Alligator mississippiensis: one gene and its partners. The protein of the gene in region 1 purifies or fractionates together with the protein of each later gene. This does not show direct contact. Links are inferred from orthologs where the notes say so. Each region holds a gene or a part of one and is shown on either strand. Other genes may lie near its edges.

Region 1 (6,894 bases):
TCGGCTGCATTTTGCAATCCCAAAAAACAGCACAGAACCAGAAAGTTTTAAAGTCACTAAAGAAGAGCTCTTAAAAAAAAAAAACAATTTTCAAATGTGACTTACTAAAATAATTAAAAAGCACAAAATCTAGTAGAGGTTTGCAAAGTCTGCAGCTCCATCCTGTCAATGAAGACAGTTTATGGGTACTAACATCTACCTCAATACTTGAAAATCCAAATTTTGTAATGATGTGTAGTCCACAAGAACCAGAGACAAAGAATTCAGTGAAACAGACTTTTTTTGTCTAAATCACTGGTGCTCAACCTCCAGTCCACAGGGCTCTCCATGAGTTTGGAAATTTGGTGGCAGGGGAGAGATGGCAACATTAACTGCTGTGGCTCCCCTGCGGGCCAGATGACAGTCCCATGCACTGAATTCAGAGTCACTCCATAGCCAAATCCACTTCATGACCAGATCAGGCACATGGAGTCAGGCCAGCGCATGGTATCAATACACAGTCAGATCCAGTGCGTGGAGCCAGATGGGTGTGCCAGACTGCACCTGCAGATGACCCTGTCTGCTGACCCTGGCTCAGGTCCATGGACTGATCTCACCCATGGGATTCATTTAGTCCACAAACTAGCCCCATTACCATACACCTAGGCAGCCTGCGGGGCCAGAAGGTTGCACACCCCTGGTCCAAACTAAGTGAAAAGCACCACACATCATCCCGAACAAAAAGTAATTGAGAGGTTAAAACAGTATCATACAAAGTTTGTTTGGTTTTTTTAATGAAGTTCACTGTCTAGTAAAAATTATATTTTATTATAGAAGGAAGAGCAATTCCTACACAGAGCTTGCTTCTGCCACGCTATAAGGAAAGACAAGGACACCTAATCAAGCTACATCTCCAATTGACTGAAGAACTGCAAATGTAAGACTATCCCCAGATGGCAGGTCCAATACTGTAACTACCTAGGAAATAAGTCAGGTTTCTTTATTGTGAGTGTGATAGATTCTAGTAAGCTGGTTATATGGATACCTGGTCGGACCCAACAGAGCACCACAAGCGCTCTCTTCAGTGTCTTAGTCTGCCATCTAATATAATCACAAGTATGAGTATTTGGTGGTTCTCATGCTGGGAGTGCCCATGTCATCCTTTCCTGCTGTACATCGCACTGCATTGTTCTCTAGTATTCTAGAGGCAGAAGAGGAGGTGATCCTGCAATTAGGGCTTTCCCTCCTTTTCAGACTGTAATTGCAGTTTACACACTAGTGGATAATATTTTTAAAAGAAACTGGTTCACTGTCATTCTTAATCAGCATTCAAGCATGTCCCCATCTTGGAAGATCCAGACGAGATGTGTGTCCAGATCTGCTAACTGCTCAAACTCCTCACCCTTCCCCCAATACGGTCTCACACAAAGAACACGCAGGCTTCCCACTTGCTGGGACGGACAAGTGCCATCTGCAGAACTCTTCACCAGCGTTTCCTGCACGCTGCAAAACAGATTTCTCCGATGCTGGAGAGGAAAAGGAAAAGCAATAGCAAAGCTTTACCTGTTCTAGATTACCCAGTCCCTAAAAACCAATCCAAATCAAGTCCCTTCACCTGCTGTGTTCAGCTTTTGAGATCTCCAGTCCCAGAAGCAGGAAAGCTGCACTCTTGCTGGTCATTCTTTTTTCATTAGATCAAAAAGTTTAAAAGATATAGGGCCAAATTCATCCAGCGTGTAACTGCACTCACTTCAGTGGAGCCTGAATTTGGCTTGCACCACTCAACACACTGCCCCTCCCCTGTATATGACCCAAGGCTAAGACTTTGACACTACCATTGCTCTGCAAAGGAGAAAGCAACTAGCCTTGGAGCTGGGTTGTTTCTTGATGAAACAGTCTGTAGGCAGGAAAAGTTATTAAGAGGAAAGAAGTATTTCCCTTTTCTGTTTGTTTGTTTTTCCTTCCATAAAATATTCAGACCTTGCCTCTTCCTGCAAGACTCTATGGACAAACTGAGAGCTGGTTGCCAGTAACACAAGAGTGAAACCGGTGCTGCTCAGATAGGAAGAGATTTTTATTCAAACTGCTTAAAACTCCTGCTTTGTTGCTGCTTGTGCTCTACATGCTTCACATCTAACCAGAAAGGACTAGTTAAACCAAAGCATGAAAAAGCCTCAAGACCTCTAAGAAGTCTTCCAGAACAAGCAGAGAAGAAACTCAAAACATCAGGCATCCATCCCCCTAAGGTAAGAAACAAATAATAAAACTAAACTAAACTTGGGGGGAAGGGGTGGCTTCTCTACACATGGTAAAGCAGTGCAGAGAGGACAGGAGCCCACCTTTCCAGACCACCTTTGCAGTTCACCTTAAATCCTCCCACTGATGAAGGGGGGGAAATAAGCAACTGCTGAAGTAAAGCACAGGTCAGTTGGCAGAGCCCCCCCGCCGCCGCCGCCTCGGTGAATCTGAGGAATGCAACAATTGCAGCTGGCACCGCTCAGCTCCCACGGTGTGAGGCCATCGCCGGCTCCGCACCGGCCCGGCCCGGCGCGGCCCGAGCTGTCTGCGGGCGAGCAGCCGCCAGGGGAGTCCCGCCGGGCAGTGCCGGGCCGGGCCGGAGCAGAACCACGTCCTCGGGCCGGGGAAGAAAGCGCAGAGCACGGGGCGGCCTCCCCCGGGGCCCCAGGCGGGGAAGCCGAAGCGCGCAGAGCCCCGCGCCCCGGGGCTGGAGCAGGCCCCCGGGGGCCGCCCACGAGCCCCGGCCGCTGCGAGACTCCCGGAGCGGATCCGGGCCGGGCCCGCGGGGAGCAGCTCGGCCGGGGCCGGGGCCGGGGCCGCGCGCGGGAGGAGGCTGCGGCGCGGCCGGGCCGGGCCGGGCCGGACTCACCCAGATCGTCCATGGCAGGGCCGCTCCACTCCGCTCCGCTCCCGCCGCACAACTTCGGCCGCCGCCGCCCCTGCTCTGCTCTGCTCTGCTCCGCTCCGCTCCGCTGCCGGGCGACTCCCGGGCGGGCTGCTGCGCGGGGCCGGCGCTGCCCCCTGCCGGCGGCCGCCCGGCTCCTCCCTCACGGCGGGGCGGCCCCAGGCACCTCCGCGAGGCCCACCCCGGCGCCCCGCGTACCTCAGGCCCGGCCCACGCGAGCGCCGCGCCCGCAGGCGGCGGGAGGAGGCGGCCGGGCCCTGCGGGCTGTCCGGAGCACGAGGCCGCGTCTCCCGAGGCTGGCGGGGCCGGGGGCGGTTCGGCCCGGAGCCGGGATCGGGCCCTGGGGACGCGGGGGCGAGCAGGGTCTGAGACACTAGAAAGGGCAGAGCGAGCACTAGCACGAGAGGGGCACGGAAATACCCGCCCTGCTCCTGGCTGCTCAGGCCTTACCCTGAATCCAGCCGAGGCAGCGCGGTGTGTATGGATGTTGCTTGGTGCAAATATCAATCAAGCTACAGGTTTGGGCACATCATGGACTTGGTTAAGGGGGGAGTTCCCAGTAAGCGAGACAGCGCGCACTGGAAACGCCACGTGCGGGTATTGTTCCCTTGCCGCTCTCTGCCAGTCGACTACCACTGGTGTCACGTGCTTAAATGCTCCCTGGAATAGAGAAGTCCAAACACAGAAGGGGAGTTTTGCTGCAAGGAAAGTCTAAATTCACCAGCAGAGGTTTTCTTCCCCTGCCCTGCCTCAGCCGCTGTCTGGAATCAACAGATCGCTTCCAGCGAACAACAGGCACCTTCCCTGATCTGCATCAGGCTTGGAACAAAAAAGGATGCCGTGTTGCATTTGTAGAGAAGCCGAGTTTGCAACTGTTATCTTTAAATTCATAGAGACATTTAGCAGTCCAGAGTTTAGTACCAAATATAATACATTGTAAAGCAAGAAGCCTGTGTCCCACAACAAGGACACCCAGGTAGGCTAAGCCAAGCTAATTTTTAAGCACTCAGTTGAAACAGATGAAGGCAGATTTACTGTCAAATATATCAGTCCTGTAGCAAACAGTGCTATTAAGAAGGAGAATTAGGGTATGCCCATAACAGGAAGTGTTGTAAGGACAACAGCACAGATGGGGAGATCCATTAAGATGTACAGCACAGGGCAGGAGTAAAAAGCAGAACAGCAGATCAGGCAGGGGAGGGGGATCAGAATGGCACTAAGGGAGGGTGTGGAGCTTAATTTGGGTCACATCTGCTGAAAAGGTTGGCCCTCACGATAGTCAGGCACCACTCTGTAGCACAGACACAGACGAGCATCACTTGGGTGCAGCTAGTCATAGAGAAGTAGAGCTAGAAGGGACCTCCAGAGGTCAGCCAGTCCAACCCCCTGCCTGAGGCAGGATCATCCCTGTCCAAACCATCCCATACAACCGTAATTTAAACTACATCAGACTACCCTCAACCCTGACACAACATAGACCTAACACCCTAACCTGCTAACTACAGGTAAAGCAGGGGAACCACGGCAGCCAGCATCCTGCTTCTGTGAAATGTTGTCAATAGACTTCTTTTATATATATATATATATATATATATATATATATATACACACACATACACATCATCTAGTATAAAACTTTCCATCACACCTTAAACCACATTAAGAAGCTGTGCACCCATTACAATAAATGCACCCACTCCCGTGCGCCCCCGCACACCGACCCATTGCCCTTCCCTAACCCAACTGCAGTCCTTTTGTCCAATCTGCTGGTTTGGAGTTTACATTCTCAGTTCATTCCCTGTCCTTGTCACTGTTGACGGCACTGTCACTTCCGCTGCTGATGATTCTGATGCTGTCTTCCTCATTGTCTCCAGGTCCAGTTGTGTCGTTGTCCTCTTCATTCTCCCTGTCTGCTCTGCCTCCCAGGGGGTCTTTGAACCAAGGGCCAAGTGTCCCTTTTCGCTCAAGAGGTCCCGGTAGAGGGCCACACCTTTCTGCTACACAGGAAAGCAAAATATCTCCACAGTCCGTACCAAGCACACAGCCCACAGTGTCCTGTTATTCAGCCCCTGGTGTTGCCCCTGGGTCTCGACTGACCCAGACCAGCCCCATGAGCAGAACCCAGGATGCATGCTGCCAGCAGCCCCCATTCCAGATGCTCTGGGAACTGTACTGCACACAGTGCTCACCCCAAGCATGAATACCTGGCACATGTACACTCACTGACCTTGTGTTTGACTCTCGGCAGAATGCCAAGAGGAAAGATGAAGAAACATTATGTGAGGCAAAGCAAGAACAGAGCAATAACGACAGGAAGGAGGGAGAGAATGACCGGAAGTCCAGGGGCAAAGGGAGGGATATGACACAGGGGCAGGTCACTGTGTGGGAGGACATTGTTATAAATTGCTGACACATTTTACTCCAGTCTACCTGGCAACCTCTGGAGAACACAGTCTTTTGAAACCTCCCGCCCTTGTCTTCCCCCGAGGTCATAGGGCGTGTCTACATGTGCTTCTATGCACGCCTAAACTTAATAGGCAGCTAGGATCTGGAACCAGCTTCCAAGGGAAGTGGTGCTGGCTCCTACCCTGGGGGTCTTTAAGAGGAGGTTTGACGTCTACCTGGCTGGGGTCATTTGAGCCCAGTTTTCTCTCCTGCCCAGGGTAGGGGGTCAGTTTTGATGATCTACAAGGTCCGTTTTGACCCTACTTCTATGAATCTATGAATATGCATTTGCCTAATGAGCATCAAGGCAATTTAGGTGTGTGTCTACAAGCATGTGCTAAGGCACATTAACGTGGCGTGAGGACTGACTCGAGACTAAAGTGAGTTCCAAGTCAATTGACATATACTGCATTAATGCACCTTAGGGTGCTTACATATTCATTAGGGCACTTTATCTATTTGTGCCTAAATTTGATCTCTGTTTTTGCAGGAATCAAATTTAGGCATGAATAGCCTAAAATTGCCATTTTTAAGGCACAGTAAGGGCCCACACATGTAGATCTGTGCCCTTAATGCACCTTAAAAATAGCTAATGCAGCTTAAATCAGCACGTGTAGATGCACCCTATGGACATAGAGTCATAATAGAACCATAGAAAATTAGGCTTGGAAAGGACCTCAAGAGGTCATCTAGTCCATTGGTTCTCAGCCTTTTTTGTACCAGGACCCTTTTATAAACATCAATGGCCAGTCCCACCCCAGTGCCCCTCGCTCCTAACCCACTGGCCCCCCATCCCCAGGTCCCAGCCCCTCAGTGTGTGGGGCTGGCATGAATGTGTGGGGCAGGGAGGGGCAGTGTGGGTCCCAAGCAGCCCCTTGCAGGCTGGAACTCTTCTAGCCTTCAAGGGAAAAGCCACGGTTTCCTACATTTTTCTCCTTTAAAGGAGAATCCATTTTTTAAGTTTCTTTTTCCATTTCTAAAGTTTGTTTGCAACCCTTGCATATATTCTTGCAACCCACTTTTAGGTCACAACCCACAGGTTGAAAAATACTAATCTAGTCCAACTACCTGCACAAAGCAGATGGACCATCCCCAGCTATATCATCCCAGCCTAGGCTTTGTCTACCCAGGTCTTAAAAACCTCTAAGGATGGAGATTCCATGCCCCACAGGTTGGATTATCTTGATATCCAACTGTTCCCTGCTTCTAAGCCAGATATCACTTTGCAATTCACATAAGTCCTGTTTGTATGTAGCTCTTAGCACTAGTTACTACAGTTCTCCAGTTACGGTGCAAAACTCCATTGGATCAGCATGGTGAGCTGCAGCGTTTCTCAAACTGTGGGTCACAACCCAAAAGTGGGTTGCAAGACTATACAAAAGGGTCAGAAACAAACTTAAAAAATGGATTCTCCTCTAAAGAAGTAAAACATGGGAAACTGTGGCTTTTCTCTTGCAGGCTGTAAGACTTCCAGCCTACAAAGGGCTTCTTACCACCCCCCCACCCCTGCTGCCCCACACACTGGGGAGCTGGGGCCTGGGGACAGT
Region 2 (7,479 bases), on another chromosome or scaffold:
ACGTGTGTTCACCAGAGCGCCCCAAGGGATGACAAGGTCGAATGGTCACAAACTACTACAAGATCGTTTCAGGCTGGACATAAGGAAGAATTTCTTTACTGTCCGAGCCCCCAAGGTCTGGAACAGCCTGCCGCCGGAGGTTGTTCAAGCGCCTTCATTGAACACCTTCAAGATGAAACTGGATGCTTATCTTGCTGGGATCCTATGACCCCAGCTGACGTCCTGCCCTTTGGGCGGGGGGCTGGACTCGATGATCTTCCGAGGTCCCTTCCAGCCGTAATGTCTATGAAATCTATGAAATGTACTATCAGACTTGAGTCAAAATAGTTTATCGAACTTCTGTCTCGAACCAAATGGAGTCTTCTGATGCTGTCTCCTAAGGAAAAGCTGAAATTAAACTCTGACTAATGCTTAAAACAAAGTCTGTGAAAGCACATCCTAAAGTAGTAATGTTCCTAGAAACTGGGTGTATTTGATTGAAAAATTCTCCACCTGAGCTCCATCACCAGATCCAGCCAAACCACAGTGCAGTCTGCTACCTGGATCTTGGGGGTGCTAAAAATGACAGGGCTTCTTCAGTCTAGGCCTGTTGGGTTGGTCAGCTAGACTGTGTTGGCTATTGCCTTATTTGCTCCAAAGCATAAGGAGTCCATATAACTTCATTCAATCCAGGGAATGAGAGAAATTGAAACCATCTGTGTCAAGCCCAGGCTCTATGGCTCTGCTGGACTGTTCCAAACTTAATTTACTGAACCTATTGTCCCTTCTGGTACCATGTGCCTGGAACTGCATATGAGTTAATCGACTTGATGACTAATATTAAATAATGATAGCTTGATGACTAGTGTGGTTTGTTTTGGGGTTTTTTTCTCTTCTTCCCCCCCCCCCCCCCCCCCGCGCCAACAGTCTAATGGGCGAGACTGCCTCCTTGTACTGATTCTTCTTTTTGTTGCAAATTCTGAATTTATCATTCAAAGGAACTTCTCCTCTGAGTGGACCTCAGTCCTGCCTGCTAAAGTTCCTGGTACAACTACACCTGGCACTTCCCTCACTTATTTATAGTAACCTGGCATCTTAAAAATTAAATAAAATTGACAACTAGAGACTTCAGAAAATAGTAACAAGACCAACTTCTCATGAAGATGTTAAAGCTAAATAAGTACCACAACTCTACTAAACCATGACAGGGAGTGAAGGGAAAGGTGATGCCTATTTTACAAATAACAGGTTATTCATACCAAAAGTAACAAAGGCATTTAGTGTGGTGCAGAGAAGCATAGTCATCTACACTTCAGTATAGTGTAGCAGACCTATCCTAGGACTACAGAGGAGAATTCTGAGGCATTATGGGATGAAATCATGAACAAAGAAACTTGTACTAAACATCCAGGAAAGCTCTGGGTGGGGGATGGTACTCAGTCCTCCAGCTGACTACATATACAAGGGAAATATCAGATGACCAATCACTTGGGATACTTCAAACTGGATTGGATAAAAGATTAACAATCATGAAAAAGCATGAATACTTCAAGCTATTGTCTGAATTTTTCTAATTGGATTACAAAGTGCTTATCAATGATGGATCCAATTGACATTTCTTTTTCTTCATGTTAGTTTAATGCTCATGTGGAGAGAGAGAGTGACTTTGGTCAGGGTCACATAGTAAATTGGGCGGGCAGGCAGGCAAATGACTTCAGCTCTCACACGTATTAACCCCATGATCAAACCACTAAGCCACAGACAGTGTACTGAAGTATTTTCTAGCAGTAATTTCTTTCCCTGTGAAGATGGGTTCCTGCTTGACAGCCCTGCAGGCTAGAACCCTGTCACTGTTTAAATACTTCAAAAAAGACAGAAACTAAGACTAAAACGCCCTTTAAACTTGCCATGTCTTGACTGCGTGTTGCTTATTGCTCACTGCTTCAACAAGCCTTACAAGTTAGCTTCAGGCAGTCTTGCAAAATGCCAATTACCCATTTGCCCTGGGGTAAGTAATATTTTTGTGACCAGAAAATGAATCATTGGTTTCATCATCATGAGTGTAGAAGTTTAGACTGTGCCTCTGCTGATTGCTATTATGACTGCTAAAGTCCTACTGCAGGGGATATTTCCTAACTTACTTACTAGTGGTATTTAGTCAGAATATTAAAAAATCCTACCTCTAATTGAGTATCTCCTCTCTGCATAAAGAAATAACTGTGGTGTCTGTGCGCATGCTGTGTGATAGCCTCCTTCTCTGGGACTTCTACTTTCCCAGAAACAGGGATAGTCTGAATTAGATCTTGCTGGGGTAACAAAACAGATATAGCCCAGGACACAGGCCAGCAACTAAACGGGTCGGCTGTGTCTGCTTTGACACGCTGAAGGCAGGCCCAGCAAAAGTGCAAACAAGCCCTGCTGGACGGCTTGAGTCGGCAGCCAGACGTGCCCCACCAAACCAGAACCGGGGCAGCCTGCTCAGGATCCAGCCTGACTGGGCCCACACCTTGGTCTGGCACCCAGCTCCCTGCGGGGGGCCCAGGGATCCTCCCCGGCCGCCCTGCGCCGAAGCAGGCGGGAGTCGCGCACCCCCCCCCCCTCAGTGGGCGCGGAGAGCGGGGAAGAGCCCCCCTTACCCGCTCGGCAGCAGGGGGAGCGGGCCCGAGGCAACCTCTTCCCAGCCCACACAAAGGGCCGGGCCGGGCCGGGGAGCGCCCGCTCGCGCTCCTTTCCCCGCTGTCCCGGCCATGACGGCGCCGCGGAGGCCGCGCTGTCCCCGCCCGGGGCCTCCCCGCACAAGGGGCCGCCTGCCCCGGACACCGCAACAAGCGGCCCCGGCCCTTTCCGCAAGTGCCCGGGGCCGCCGCCGCAGAGGCCCGGCCCGGCCCAGCCCAGCCCAGCCCGGCCCAGCCCCTACCTTGGCCATGGCCGTGGCGGCCCCTCGCGGCGCAGGCTCGTGTCGTGGCGCTGTCCCGCCGCCTCGTGCCGGTGCTGCCGCGCCGCGCCGGGGGAGGGCCGGGCCGGGACGGGGCTGGGGCCGGGGACGGGCCGGGCCGGGCGCCCCGCGCGCTGTTTCCGGGGCGGGGGCGGGCGCGGGCGCATTCCTGCCCGCTGGCGTCAGGCGGAGCCGCTTCTCCGGCCTCGGGCTCGGGCTGTGGGGGGCGCTGGGGCCGGGGCAGCGCCTGAGGCGGCGGGCCCGGGCCGGGGCCGGGGCCGGGGCCGGGGGCGGGTGGAGGAGCTGGGGTCGGGGCGCGGAGGCTGAGAACAGCACGGACCGCGTTTCCCCTCGGTGATACGGGAAGGAGATGCGGGGGAAGAGGCCCGGGCCTAGGGCTGGACTGTTCCCTTGAAGACGGCAGCAAAACCAAATCCAGCTTCTGGCAAGGAGGGGAAAACCACCCGCCGGGTGGAGAAATGGGCACTTGTTCCCAGGAGCAGCAGTGTGGCAGAGCAGAGGCCAGCTTCAGGGACTGCGTAAAAAGAAGAGAAGGAAGAGTTGAGAAGGGATCCAGTAGATTGTAATGAGCCATGAAGTCAAACGGCCTCCTCCGCCCTGCCTGGTTAGAAAGGCTGCTGTCGCTGCCAGGCGGCTGGTTGTAACCTTTGGGGGGGAGTGCAAGTGCACCCCTCTGCCCCTGCCTGTATCCCTGCAGTAAACCCCATCCTGGTGTGCCTGCTCCTTCCTCAGCACAGCTGTGGGTTGGAGACAAAGTTTAGAGCTGCTTCCCATGAGGGAGATGAGCTGTACCAAGAAAAGTTGGGTTTTTTCCTGGTATAACTATGTCTACACTACTGATTTCTGCTTGTATCCCTGACTAGCGCTGGTGCTGAGAGAAGTCTCATAGTGCAGTGGTTCTGGGTCGTATCCAAGTCAGGGCAGCCCCCTGCAGCTTGCCGGCATCCCTGGTTCAGAGCCACTGTTTGCTGCCTCTCCTTATTCTCGTTTGCCACCAGTGTGTCGCCACGTGCTCCAGTCTGTGTTGGGGTTTTCTGATAAACCTAAAACAAGCAGGAGTAGAGGCATTAACTAATGAGTTTTTTGCACCCTGGACAAAACTCCCCTGTGCCTCTGGGGCAGGGGGTGGAGCAGGGAGAAAGAAGGGTGGTCTTGCCCTGCTTGTCCCTGCACCCAGCTCCTCTGGGTGGTCTGGAGCATATGCTACATGCAGTGCTTAGGTCCAGTCAGAGAACCACGGGCAGCACCTCAGGCTGAATGATAGGGCTCCATGGGCAGTATCTTTGACATCCCTCTTCTACATGCTAGTTATCTTGCACTGAAATCTGAACTGATCTTACCGTGACATACACAATAAAGGCCTTTTCTGGTAGATGCTACTGTTGGTTTCTAGTGGTTAAAACTTGAGGAATAAAGTACTAACTTGTCTGCTTTCTGTATTCTGCTTGGCAGATACAAATTACTGTGACTCCCCTGCCCTTGGCACTTTTTTACCAGGGCAGCATTAGAGCTACTAGCAGTGTGATGTACTTCTGCCCCCTACTTCGTCCCCAAACTAGGGACTACCAGCAGGGTAGTGATGTTGGGGCCGGAAACAGGGCTTAGGAACCTCTTCCTAGCTCTTTTTCTGCCCCTGCTGGGTTACCCTTGCTGCCTGCGCTACCCAGTGGGGGCTGGGAAAGGTCTCCCTGGGGTAGTGGGCAATGCTCCTTGTGCTTCGCCAGGCCAGTGACTTCCTGGCTGCCTGACCAGTCTACAGGAGGGAAGTGGAACAGTAGGGAAGGACTCCACCTGTTCCCCAGACCTGCGTGTCTGGTCTGTGGAAGTAAAGGAGCCTTTCTGCACTGCTCCACCCCCTCCCCCCCCGAATGGGATGGGAGAAGTGGAGCAGTCACCGCACCCTAGGCCAGGATCACCCTAATCTTGAGAAGGGGAGAGGGTGGTGGCAGGCTGAGTGCCTGTATGATCACTCAGAAACTTCCACTGGTAGAAGCAGAAGTGAATGCCTGTTCATGGCCACTCACTATTATCAGCTATAGTTGACACTGATAAGAGCTTTGGACACAACTTACTGATTCTTTGTCTTTCACTAAGCACTCTGATACTAATTCACTGTACAAACAAATTGGCATAGGGAAAAACAGTGAATTAACTGAAGTGCAATCTCTCACTGCTGGTAGAATTGGATGAGGAAAGATGCACTACCTACATTGAGCAGGTAATCAGATTTAGGTCTCTTTTCTTGGTTGCATGTGGGCGGGATGACTACAGCACATAATCTGCTCATTCCATTTCCTGGCATTGTTCATAGCCCATGCAACCCCAAAGTCTACCGTTGGTTGTAGTATACTGTGGCATGGAGATAAGTCATGACTGTGCTGCTCAACAGTGTGCCAACTAAACACAGTAAACAAAGAGAAAAACCACTGTGTAAAGTCAGGACTGATTTCACTGGGTTACTAAATTTTAAATTAAATGTGTTTGTAAGAATTTTGTAGTATTGTTGGAAATTATTATTTTTTACAATAAATCTGTATTCAGTTATAAAGGTAGTAATCTGATCAGAGTTTGCTTACAAGGTGATATATGCTAAATTTGAATGTTAATGGGTGGATTTAAATTATTGAATTAAATTAATAATATAGTTCTATGCTATTTCACACATTTACTTGGATTACTCTTGCACAGCAGCAAAGACATATAATTAGTAATTTGTGCTCAAAGTAAAAGGCATTGTGTATATTCTTTTGCTGTGAATATTGTAAGGAATACATGCTCATGCTGTAAAATGTACATTCCTACTAGCAATACCAGCAAAGTGGTACATTTTCTAGGATGCAATAGAAATGCATCCGTTAGATACTGGATAAGAACATGCATAAAAATGAAAAAGTAACTGTATTTGTGTAAAAATTTAGAATTCCTGTGCATAGATGATGAAGTTGGCAGGAACAGCTTTATGAATTCTAGTATCTTAGATACAGTTTTCCAAATATTTACAGTATGTTTTGTGTATAGAGTTGCTTAGTGGGCACATCTGGTTTAGTTAGGTGGTGTCATCTTGCTCCAATATTCATGATTACCCTGCCACTGATTCTGACCCAACTTGGGGGTTCTCAATGACTTTCATGTGTGGACTGTATTTTACTACAGGGACTGTTTCATGGACCACCAGTGTGCACACATGACTCTCCCATGTGTGACTGTAATAGCTCTGTGGTAAGTACAGTAATTGACTGCATGTAGGAGTCATTTTAGAAAAATGTCTAATTTTTTTTTTTTTTCATTTTTCTAATGTATTTGATATCAGGCAATAAACTTGATAAGCTCACCAGTAATAAATACTCTCCAAAGCACCGATGGTCCATGAACCACAGTCTGAGAACCTCTTCCCTAAGCGTTGTTGTCTCATTTTCCTTATCTGTAAAATGGGATAATTAATATAATCTGAGGCAGACAAATATGAGTAATAACTAGCCAGTATTTGCAAACTTTTTCAAAGATAGAGTGCTATAAAAGAATACTTAGTTTTACAGAAGTGCCTAGAGGTTCCAGCTGAAATCTAAACACCGCATGTTGGGTACTGCGTGTGGCAGGTGATGGCTCCTTCCCTAGAGAAACTGCAGTTCATATAAGCAAGACAGAGAAAGGGAAGAACAGGTCAGTGTCAGAAATAGAACCCAAGTCCCTTGAAACCAAGTCCAGCGCTCTGTCCACTGAAGCACATTAGCACTTTTATACTAGTTTTTTTTTCCAGTTCCGTCCCTGAAAACAGGTCTGTACAGTCCTCCTGTGTTTGCCCCAGTTAATGTATGCCTGCCTACATGTTCTATATGCTTTTGGAAGGAATACATTGAGAATCTTTAGACGGCCTTGCTGATAGTTTTTCAGAATATGGGTATGTGCCTGCAATGGTACAAGAATGAAGAAGTTGCTAAACGTAAAGACTAGCTTAACACTGAATTTATTATTAGAAAATAGGGTCACTTAATACAAGAGCTGATGGTGCTGAAAGGTGGTGGTCATTACTTTTGATAACAACAGCCGTTATTTGTCCGTCTTTTCACTAATGATAAGTAGCACTTCTCTAGGAGTAGTAAGTGGATTTCAACTGGCAGCTTGTCAGCAGCACACAATGCGGCCATTATAGAGTCCCACATTTACATCGGAATTAGGGTATGTAACCACAGAGAAGAGACTGCATGGACTGAGTCATCATGTACTTGCTGCCTAGTAGGAGAACTGGAGTTGACAATCTGTTTACTGTGCTTTACTTGCTAGAATTCTCATCTTGCAAGGTGCAAAGCAAATTCCTTTTAATGTGCTAGGTATTTTCAGCTCCCATTGGCTTTATGTTTACAGCTGTGGCATTCAGCATATAGCATGTTAAATCAGGATTTAGCCTGGAAATTGCAACTCTGTTAAGCCCACACACTTGCACAAGAGCTTCGAAAGATGTATAAAGTACCGGGAAATTAGGATCTTGCACTTTATAACCTTGATTTTTTCCATACCATGAATAAGTTTGACTTTCTAACGAGATG
Region 3 (7,506 bases), on another chromosome or scaffold:
TCCATGGTGACCGTAAATATGTACTTCTAGATTATGGTTCTATCCATGTTTCATGCTACTAAGAAATCAAGAACCAAGATCTAAGATATATGCAGCATTTCCTATATATAATTACAGAATCACCCTAACTACCACCCAAATGCAACTTTTCATAATAATTCTCATTGAATTTGCTCAGTGGATTCTGAGATTACTTGTATAAAAGGAGCCAACTTTCTAGAGGACAAGAGGCATTTACAACTACTTAGCCTTTTCAGCTGGAAAGAAATCAAAAGATTCAACTGAGCTATGAGATGTGTTGCAAATCTGAAGTCCTAGTCCATAAATACCCTATCTGAAAATCCGTTAAATGAAACTTTTATCCTGATGCATAATATTTTCAGATTACATGTTAATTAGAAAAGTCTACATAGTCAGTCTCCATAGGAAAATCTGGCCTTAACATTTAGCATTTTCAGATTACACATTGTTTAAGAGGTCAGTTTGAACAGGAAAATTCGGCCTAATTGCTTTTTTTTTTCCCCTTTTAAAAAAGGACTGAAACTTTATATACCCAATCACATTTTTACTATTTTAATGTTCACTATATAGACCTGATATTTAAGGTTTTTTTATATACTGCTGATATTTTAAAGGGCTTACAAATATGAGAAACCAGTGGTTTCATGTACATGAAGTTGAGCGGGGGAGAGGAAGGTAGGTATCACACCTTTGCTACTGCGATTGTTTTCATTTGTTTCTTCTGCAAGGCTGGCCGAGCATAGCAGTAACATATTGATTTAGCTAGTAAGGCAAGTTACCTAATCAGTAGGAGTCAGATATATTTTTAAAAGAAAACTGAAGCTCTGTGGGATACTAGACACGACAAATTCAAAAGGGGAACAGAGCTGAGGATTTCTTTTGACTTCGTTCATAATTGGCCATTTCTATTTTATAAAATGTAAATCATTGCTGATATTATGCATTTGATTAGCAATCGTTAAAATATATTTATTTGGAAAGTACATAGCTTCATGTTTGCTCATTTTTGCTGTGTCTGCTGCTTAATATACCAGTAATCAGATATTGTGATGAGTAATCCCTCAGCTGCTAGATCAGTTGGACACTTTTTTTCAGTAACTGAAACATACCTTAAATATAAAGTTAAACTGTTGCTGAATTCACACAAATTGTATTCAGGCATGTAACATTGATGCATGTTATAAGAATCTAGAATGAAAAAGTAAAGAGAGAGAATAATCCTTTAATTCCCCCCCCCCCATGAAATAAAATCTATTCATTACTAATGTCTGTTTCTTATACTTAAAATAATACTTAGAGTACTATATGCTTTATATTCTTTCAATCAACTACTGTAGTTTGACTTTCGTGTCAGTTTATAAATAATATTTTAACGTCTGCCTTCATTTTAAGATAGATGATCTCCAGTTAAGGCTCTGTATCATTTTTGTCTCATAATTCTGAGGAAACTCAAACCTGGCCAATAATCACACTTGTCTAATTTATTCATTTTTTTTTCTTTTCTGAAGTGCCTGCACACAGTAGGTATTTTACCAAAGTCAAATCTGACCAGTGCACCCATTTGCCTTATTACAGAAAAGTTTCCCCCTTTTAAAATAAAACAATTCTCAACTAAGCAGCAGGCATTAACTTGATTAGCTATATATCTCAAATCAAGTACTTAAACATTTGCAAGCCTCTACAGTCTTTTTCCTCTGTCTACTATACCAAGGTACAAAATATTTGTTCCTTTATATTACCAAAACTTTAGTCCAGAGAAAGTAGTATTTTTTTTCCTTTTTCTTTTTTGTGAAATGGCCAGCTTGTTTTATTTTGTTGTTGATAAACTGAACATATCACCAGTCATAATTAAAAAAAACAAACAAACAAACAAAACTTGTAATTGATTCTTAAAACTGCTCCTAAAACTCGCATGGTTAGAAGCCATTATGCATATGTTTTTAAGATGCGTCTGGAAAAATCAAAGATTCAGGCCCAACGTCTTAGACATTTCTTTCATTGTTACTTTTTGGGGGGGTATGTATTATAGCCATTGCTAATCTTTCTTTACTGTGTGCCTTAAAAAGACATAGTTATATTCCAATATCCTCAGAGGGAATGGTAGTCAACTAAATTTACCTCTAACCCACTTTTCCCCAGTTTTTTCCTTTCTGTGTTGTAGGGTGTTAATCACTGACCAGGCAAAAGCAACGCTAAGGATGTCTGAGAGGCTAACTAACAAAAAAGATCTGAATCATTATCTTATAAAATTTAACCATGAAGTTCTCCTTTGCATTGAGGATTTCTCACTGCAGTGATACACAATGGTCATGTTAGAAGGCTGTTTGACCTTTTGGGGGAAAAAAAAAAAAAAAAAGTGTCTGCAGCATAGTCGACTAACAAACAATCCCCAAGACAAACCTATTAAAGTATAAATTAGCTCCAAAGAAACTTCTGGAGCTATATGGATAGTGATTGCTTTTCGGGGAAAAATGATTCCTTAGATTGATGGATATAACTTGATTGTTGATGTATTCATTAATTGTAGCTTTACACTGTAATATCCAAAACAAAATCTGTTTTTGTTCCTTTCTACACCATATCACACTGTATTTTATAAACATTTGGAAACATTTATAAACATTTGCAACATAACAGAAGAGTGTTATGTCAAAGTCAATTATAACATTTACATATAGCTATGAAGTAATAATGGCTCTCTCAGACAGCTCCAGAAGAGTGACATTGTACTAAATGGTTAACTAAATATTGCAACGCCAAACCAAAACATTTTTTTTATTTGCATAGTGTCTAAATATGAAAGTATCCTAAGCCCTCTGCAACAACACAAGAACAGATTAAATGCCTAAAAAATATGCAAGATTAAAAGCAACTCTAAAAATCACTATGAAGCTAACATTATGTGCCAAAGGCCTTTTGAAATTTAAAAAAGGAGGGTTTTTCAACCTGTTTTAAAAGGGGCTAAATCCAGTAGTCCTCTCCAGGTCAAAAAGAAAAGCATTCCATAGTTCAGGGGCCTGAGGCAAGGACACAGACTGTACCCCTTCTGCTCCTGCAATCCAGGCTCCACCAGCCCCATCCTCCCGGACCTCAGGGGGTGGGATGGCACACAAAGAGGCTCTTAAAGGTATCTGGGACCATGCGATGCATCAAGAGTGTTTGACTGATTCTCCTGTTGTTATCAAATACCTAATGGAAGCGCTTATCATAAATTTGGCAATAACACCCTACAGCAGCCACACTTTGAACTTGGATCGCATCTTTGATCCCGGGGGGTGAAAAGTGGGTCAGTCAGCAGCATTATCCCCATTTCACAGAGTGAAACCGAGGCACCCGGGATGGCCCCCAAGCAGGAAGGGGGAAAAGAGCTGGACAAAGAACCAAGCTCTTGTCTCAGCCAAAACACTCGATCTTACACCTCCAGCTCTCCTGTGAAATGCGAGTTCTCATCTTCACTTAAAAGAAATTTTACAATCTTTGCACTCTCCTATGCCTGAGGAAGGGCAAGTGTGCCCAAAAGCTTGCAAATCTTTTGTTTTTTGCAAATATCTAGTAGGTCTAATGAAAGATATCATCTCTGCCACCAGCTCTGAGTCCTAAGCAACTGGACACTTAAAGCAGGGGAAAATCCTGGTGCCTACTGTGCCAGGAGCTTGCAGCACGGGCTGCATTTCAGAAGGGCTTGCAGGTCCAGAAGGGAGCGTGGCTTTGCCCCCTGCAGCTGCCTGGGCTGGGGCGGGTCAGCAGCCAGGGCAGAGGGCGAAACCCCCAGCCCTGACCTGCCCCTCGCCGGGCCCAGGCGCTTGCGGGGCTGCAAGGACACGGGCCCAAGCCCCGGGAGAGGGGGAGAAGGACGAGAGGCTCAGCCGCCAAGGAGGCGCCTCCGTCGTTGCCCCCTGTCCCGCGCCCGGCCCCTCGGCCCTGCCAGCCTACGTGACCTCCGCTACCCAGGAGCCCCGCCGGGCCGGGCCTGTGCGCCAGAGGGAGCTGTCCGGACCGGAGCTCCGCCTCGCACGGCGGGGCCGTGTCCGCGGGAGGAAGCGGGCCGCGGGCCGCGTGCCGGCCGCTGGTGTGAGGGTGAAGCCGCGCAGCCGAAAAGGGCTGGGGGTGCTTCCCAGGACGGGTCCCGCACCTCAGGGCGTGTCCCTACGGCTCCTCCACCCCGCGACGGGCTCTGTCAGAGTCGGCCCGGCTCCTTTAAGAGAGGCCGCCTCTAACCGGCTGAGCCCCCGGCCCGGCCCGGAGGTATCACTCCGCCCCTCGGGGCTGGATCCCTGCCCCGCCTCCACCCCACGCTTGCCACCGCCCTCCGCAGCTACCGCCCCCCCTCCACGGCCCACGCGAGGCGCCGCCGTGTCCCTCCGCGTCAAGAGCCGGGCACTACTTCCTGGCGCCCCGCCCAGGCTGTAGAGCGCTGCGCGCGGCGGATGGATACATCCGCGCACTATAAGAGCCGCCTTGTGCGCGGCGCCATTTTAAGCTTCTCGCTCAGGTCGGTGGCGGCGGCGGCGGAGGAGGGAGCAGAGGAGCCGGGATCGCCCGAGCGGCGGCGGCAGCCGGAGGCCGAGGAACCCCACGCTTGCAGCGTTAGTGCCGCGCTCCCGAGCGGGATTGGGGGGCTGCGTCTGTGGCGAGGCGGACCGGGGCGGCGGAGCCCGCGGGGGACAGCAGCTCCGTCCCGGCCGTTTTGGGGCCCGCGGGCCCGGGTGGACGCCGCCCCTCGGTACAAAGGGCCGGTGCGGTCCCGGGCGGGCGCGGGAAGGGGCCGGGTCGGGGCCTCCCTCGCCCTTTGTTCTGCGCTGACCCCGCTGTAACCCGAGCCGGGCTCCCGGCAGGGCTGCGGCCGGCGGGCAGGGCAGGGCGCTGGGGAAAGCGGGTTTGTTTTGAGAAAGTACTCCTCAGTCAGGGGAGGGGCTGGGGCCGGGCTGCAGCGCCCGGAATGGGCCGCCTGGATCCCAAGCCGTGGCCCCCGGGGCGAGGGGGCGGGAAGGAGAGGGAGAGAGGAAGCAGTGCCGGGAGCCCGCTCCGCTTTGCAGCCAACTTGGGGCTCCCCGGACTTTTGTGTGGTGGAGAAGCCGAGTGGGGCGGTCTGTTCTCCGCTTCGGCAACAAACCCTGCAGACAGTGTGTGGAGCTGGACGGGAGGCTGCAGGGGACCGGCGGCGCGTCTGTAACTGAAGTTGTTGTGCGTTTGGAAGCAGTTCACAATAGTTCGGGTTGGGAACAGCAGGACGGTGGTGACAGCACAGGCGGCCACAACAAAACTTTTTTGTTAGAAACATCATTAAACTGCCTGTTGTGAACAGCACATGAAGAATATGACCTCACTCCTCATTATTTTAAGCTTCCTCTGCCCTTGAGCAGGTTTTTTGCTTGATCAAGGTTCTGTAAAACAAACTTTGGTAAGAGAAACCAGACTTAATTGGCTCCCTGATGGTCTAGTTGGGAGGGGGGGAAATGGTGTGTGTATTGGCATGTGACTAGAAAAATCTGTATGGCAGTTGAGCTGCAGTGAAGTAGGTTCAAAACCAGGCTGCATTGAACTGTGCTGCAGACTTGTACAAACCCACTAGTTCAGGGAAGCGTGTGTTTCTACTGAGCAAAATTATTGTAGTAGTAAAGGATGGTGAGGTGTGGGCTCAATGTGTCTGAAACTTAGTCTGTCTAATTACAGTGCCTTAAAACACCCCCCCCCCCTTTGCTATGCCTCTAAATTGCTTGGATTTTGTTGCTGCTTTGACATTGAAAGGTCTTCAGTAATGTAGCTTGCAACCTAAGATGCCTTCTCCCCCCCCCCATGTTCTCAGACTTGTATTTAAAACAACAAAGTTAATTCTCTATCAGCGAGCTGTTAAATATAGGGAGTTACTAGTTATGATTGATATAGTGAGGTTTTTCGCCCTGCTCTTTGTTTCTGGGGGTATGTTGGCTAGACTGTCACTCTCTGAACCCTTTAAAAATGTAATCTTTTGGGCACAAACACCCTTCTTCAGGCATAGGGGGAGACTCCCCCTATGCCTGAAAAAGGGTGCTTATGTCTGAAAACTTGCAAAGAACAATTTTTTTTCAACTATTCAGTTGGTCTAATAAAAGATCTCGCATCTACTTGAAGAACCTTGTCTGCAGATGTCCTGAGACCAACAAGGTGACAACCCTTAAAAATTAACTTAATTTATAGCATTAATATAGTCTGGCTTTCATAGCTGATGGAAATAATTACTTGGATAACTGTCAGCATAATATACCAAACTTGCTTAATATAGTATAGTGTGAGCAGATGTTAAGTTCATTATCATTTTGATGAATGCAGGCTCCATGATGAGATGCTCTTTTCTCCAGTTCTTTTTATGTTAAGTTTTTTTTTTTTTAAAGTAAACACAAAAAAAACCCCAACACCCCCCTTCCCCCCCCCCCCCCACCTCAGTACCGTAGGTTGTATGCCACAGAGGCTCAGAGCTAAAACCCTAATGTTTGGGGCTGCTATGAATAAGATGGGGCTAATGACATCAACTAGATGGAGCATTATTGCAGCAGTGTGGGCTGTAGTACAAAACCAAATCACCATGATTTGTAGTACAGTACAGTAGTCTGTTGTTCGTTCTGTAGCACTGAATCAAATCCTTAAGCAGTTCCCTGATAAAGCTAATGTTGGAGCAGGTTGGTGTAGACTTTAATTGGCATCGCAGAATTCTCAAACCTGCTTCTGCTGAACGAGGATTACTTTTTTATTAAATGAAAAGTGGCACTTAAATTTACTCAATCTTGCTTGAATTGTTTAATACAAAATGCATTTGTTCTAGGCATGTGGTACACCCTGACAGAATCAAAATTGAGCTAGGTATATCCAGGCTGGAACTGGGGGGATTATAAAGCTCCATGTTATAGGGCATGTATGACCTAGTTAGAAATATTCCAAGCCATGTGTAGTCCTTACAGTATAGAGCTCTGTAGGGTAATGCCAGCTCTGTTCTGGCAACAATATAGGTGCCCCCCAGTGGTCAAGAATCTCAACATCCAGCAGCTATTGAGGAAGTACTGTAGCTTAGTCAGTCTTTTTGCTTTAATCCAGGGAGTGCTAGTAAAATAAGCTTGGTCTTGGTGTCAAGCCTCACTCTGTTAGTTCTGTTTAATAAGCATCTAACTCATGTAGATAACTCTTCATTGTAGATTTTACAGTGATAGAATGGAATTGCAGGCTGGTTACTGCCTTAACTTCACAGTTTCTCAGAATTCCTATGGGCATTTTCCTTGTAATAACATTGATTCTAATAGCTATCCAGTTGTTAAGCCACAAAGACTAATGGTTAACAGCTATGTGGAAGGCTGACTAAAATAGTCCATTTTTGTGTCCAGCTCTAACTTTATTTTTTCCATTCCTCCCCCCCCCCATTTCTGTGGCAGTTTATAGGGGTTTGAGGGTGATTTGTGAAGTACCACAGCACAGTGAATCCGTTTGCAGGTTGGGATGTGAGGACAGACTCCACAG

What was found. Proteins that work in one complex are often made in the same cells at the same time.
Region 2: the proteins of PXN (region 1) and ITGB1 purify together in Homo sapiens (affinity purification with western blotting; 3 studies listed by BioGRID and IntAct, with this or other methods). This does not show direct contact. The link is inferred for Alligator mississippiensis from reciprocal best matches to the Homo sapiens genes PXN and ITGB1.
Region 3: the proteins of PXN (region 1) and CTNNB1 purify together in Homo sapiens (affinity purification with western blotting; 3 studies listed by BioGRID and IntAct, with this or other methods). This does not show direct contact. The link is inferred for Alligator mississippiensis from reciprocal best matches to the Homo sapiens genes PXN and CTNNB1.

Annotation. Positions count from the first base shown.
Region 1 is NC_081833.1:21,181,974-21,188,867, reverse strand, and holds the start of PXN (paxillin), read right to left. Parts: upstream 3,021-6,894; 5' UTR 2,880-3,020; coding exon 2,867-2,879; intron 2,856-2,866; exon of another isoform or gene 2,319-2,855; intron 2,226-2,318; exon of another isoform or gene 1,840-2,225; intron 1,506-1,839; exon of another isoform or gene 1-1,505. UniProt on the Homo sapiens protein: Cytoskeletal protein involved in actin-membrane attachment at sites of cell adhesion to the extracellular matrix (focal adhesion). Recruits other proteins such as TRIM15 to focal adhesion.
Region 2 is NC_081828.1:193,421,647-193,429,125, forward strand, and holds the start of ITGB1 (integrin beta-1), read right to left. Parts: upstream 3,008-7,479; 5' UTR 2,906-3,007; coding exon 2,897-2,905; intron 1-2,896.
Region 3 is NC_081828.1:136,000,836-136,008,341, reverse strand, and holds the start of CTNNB1 (catenin beta-1), read left to right. Parts: upstream 1-4,499; 5' UTR 4,500-4,607; intron 4,608-7,506. UniProt on the Homo sapiens protein: Key downstream component of the canonical Wnt signaling pathway.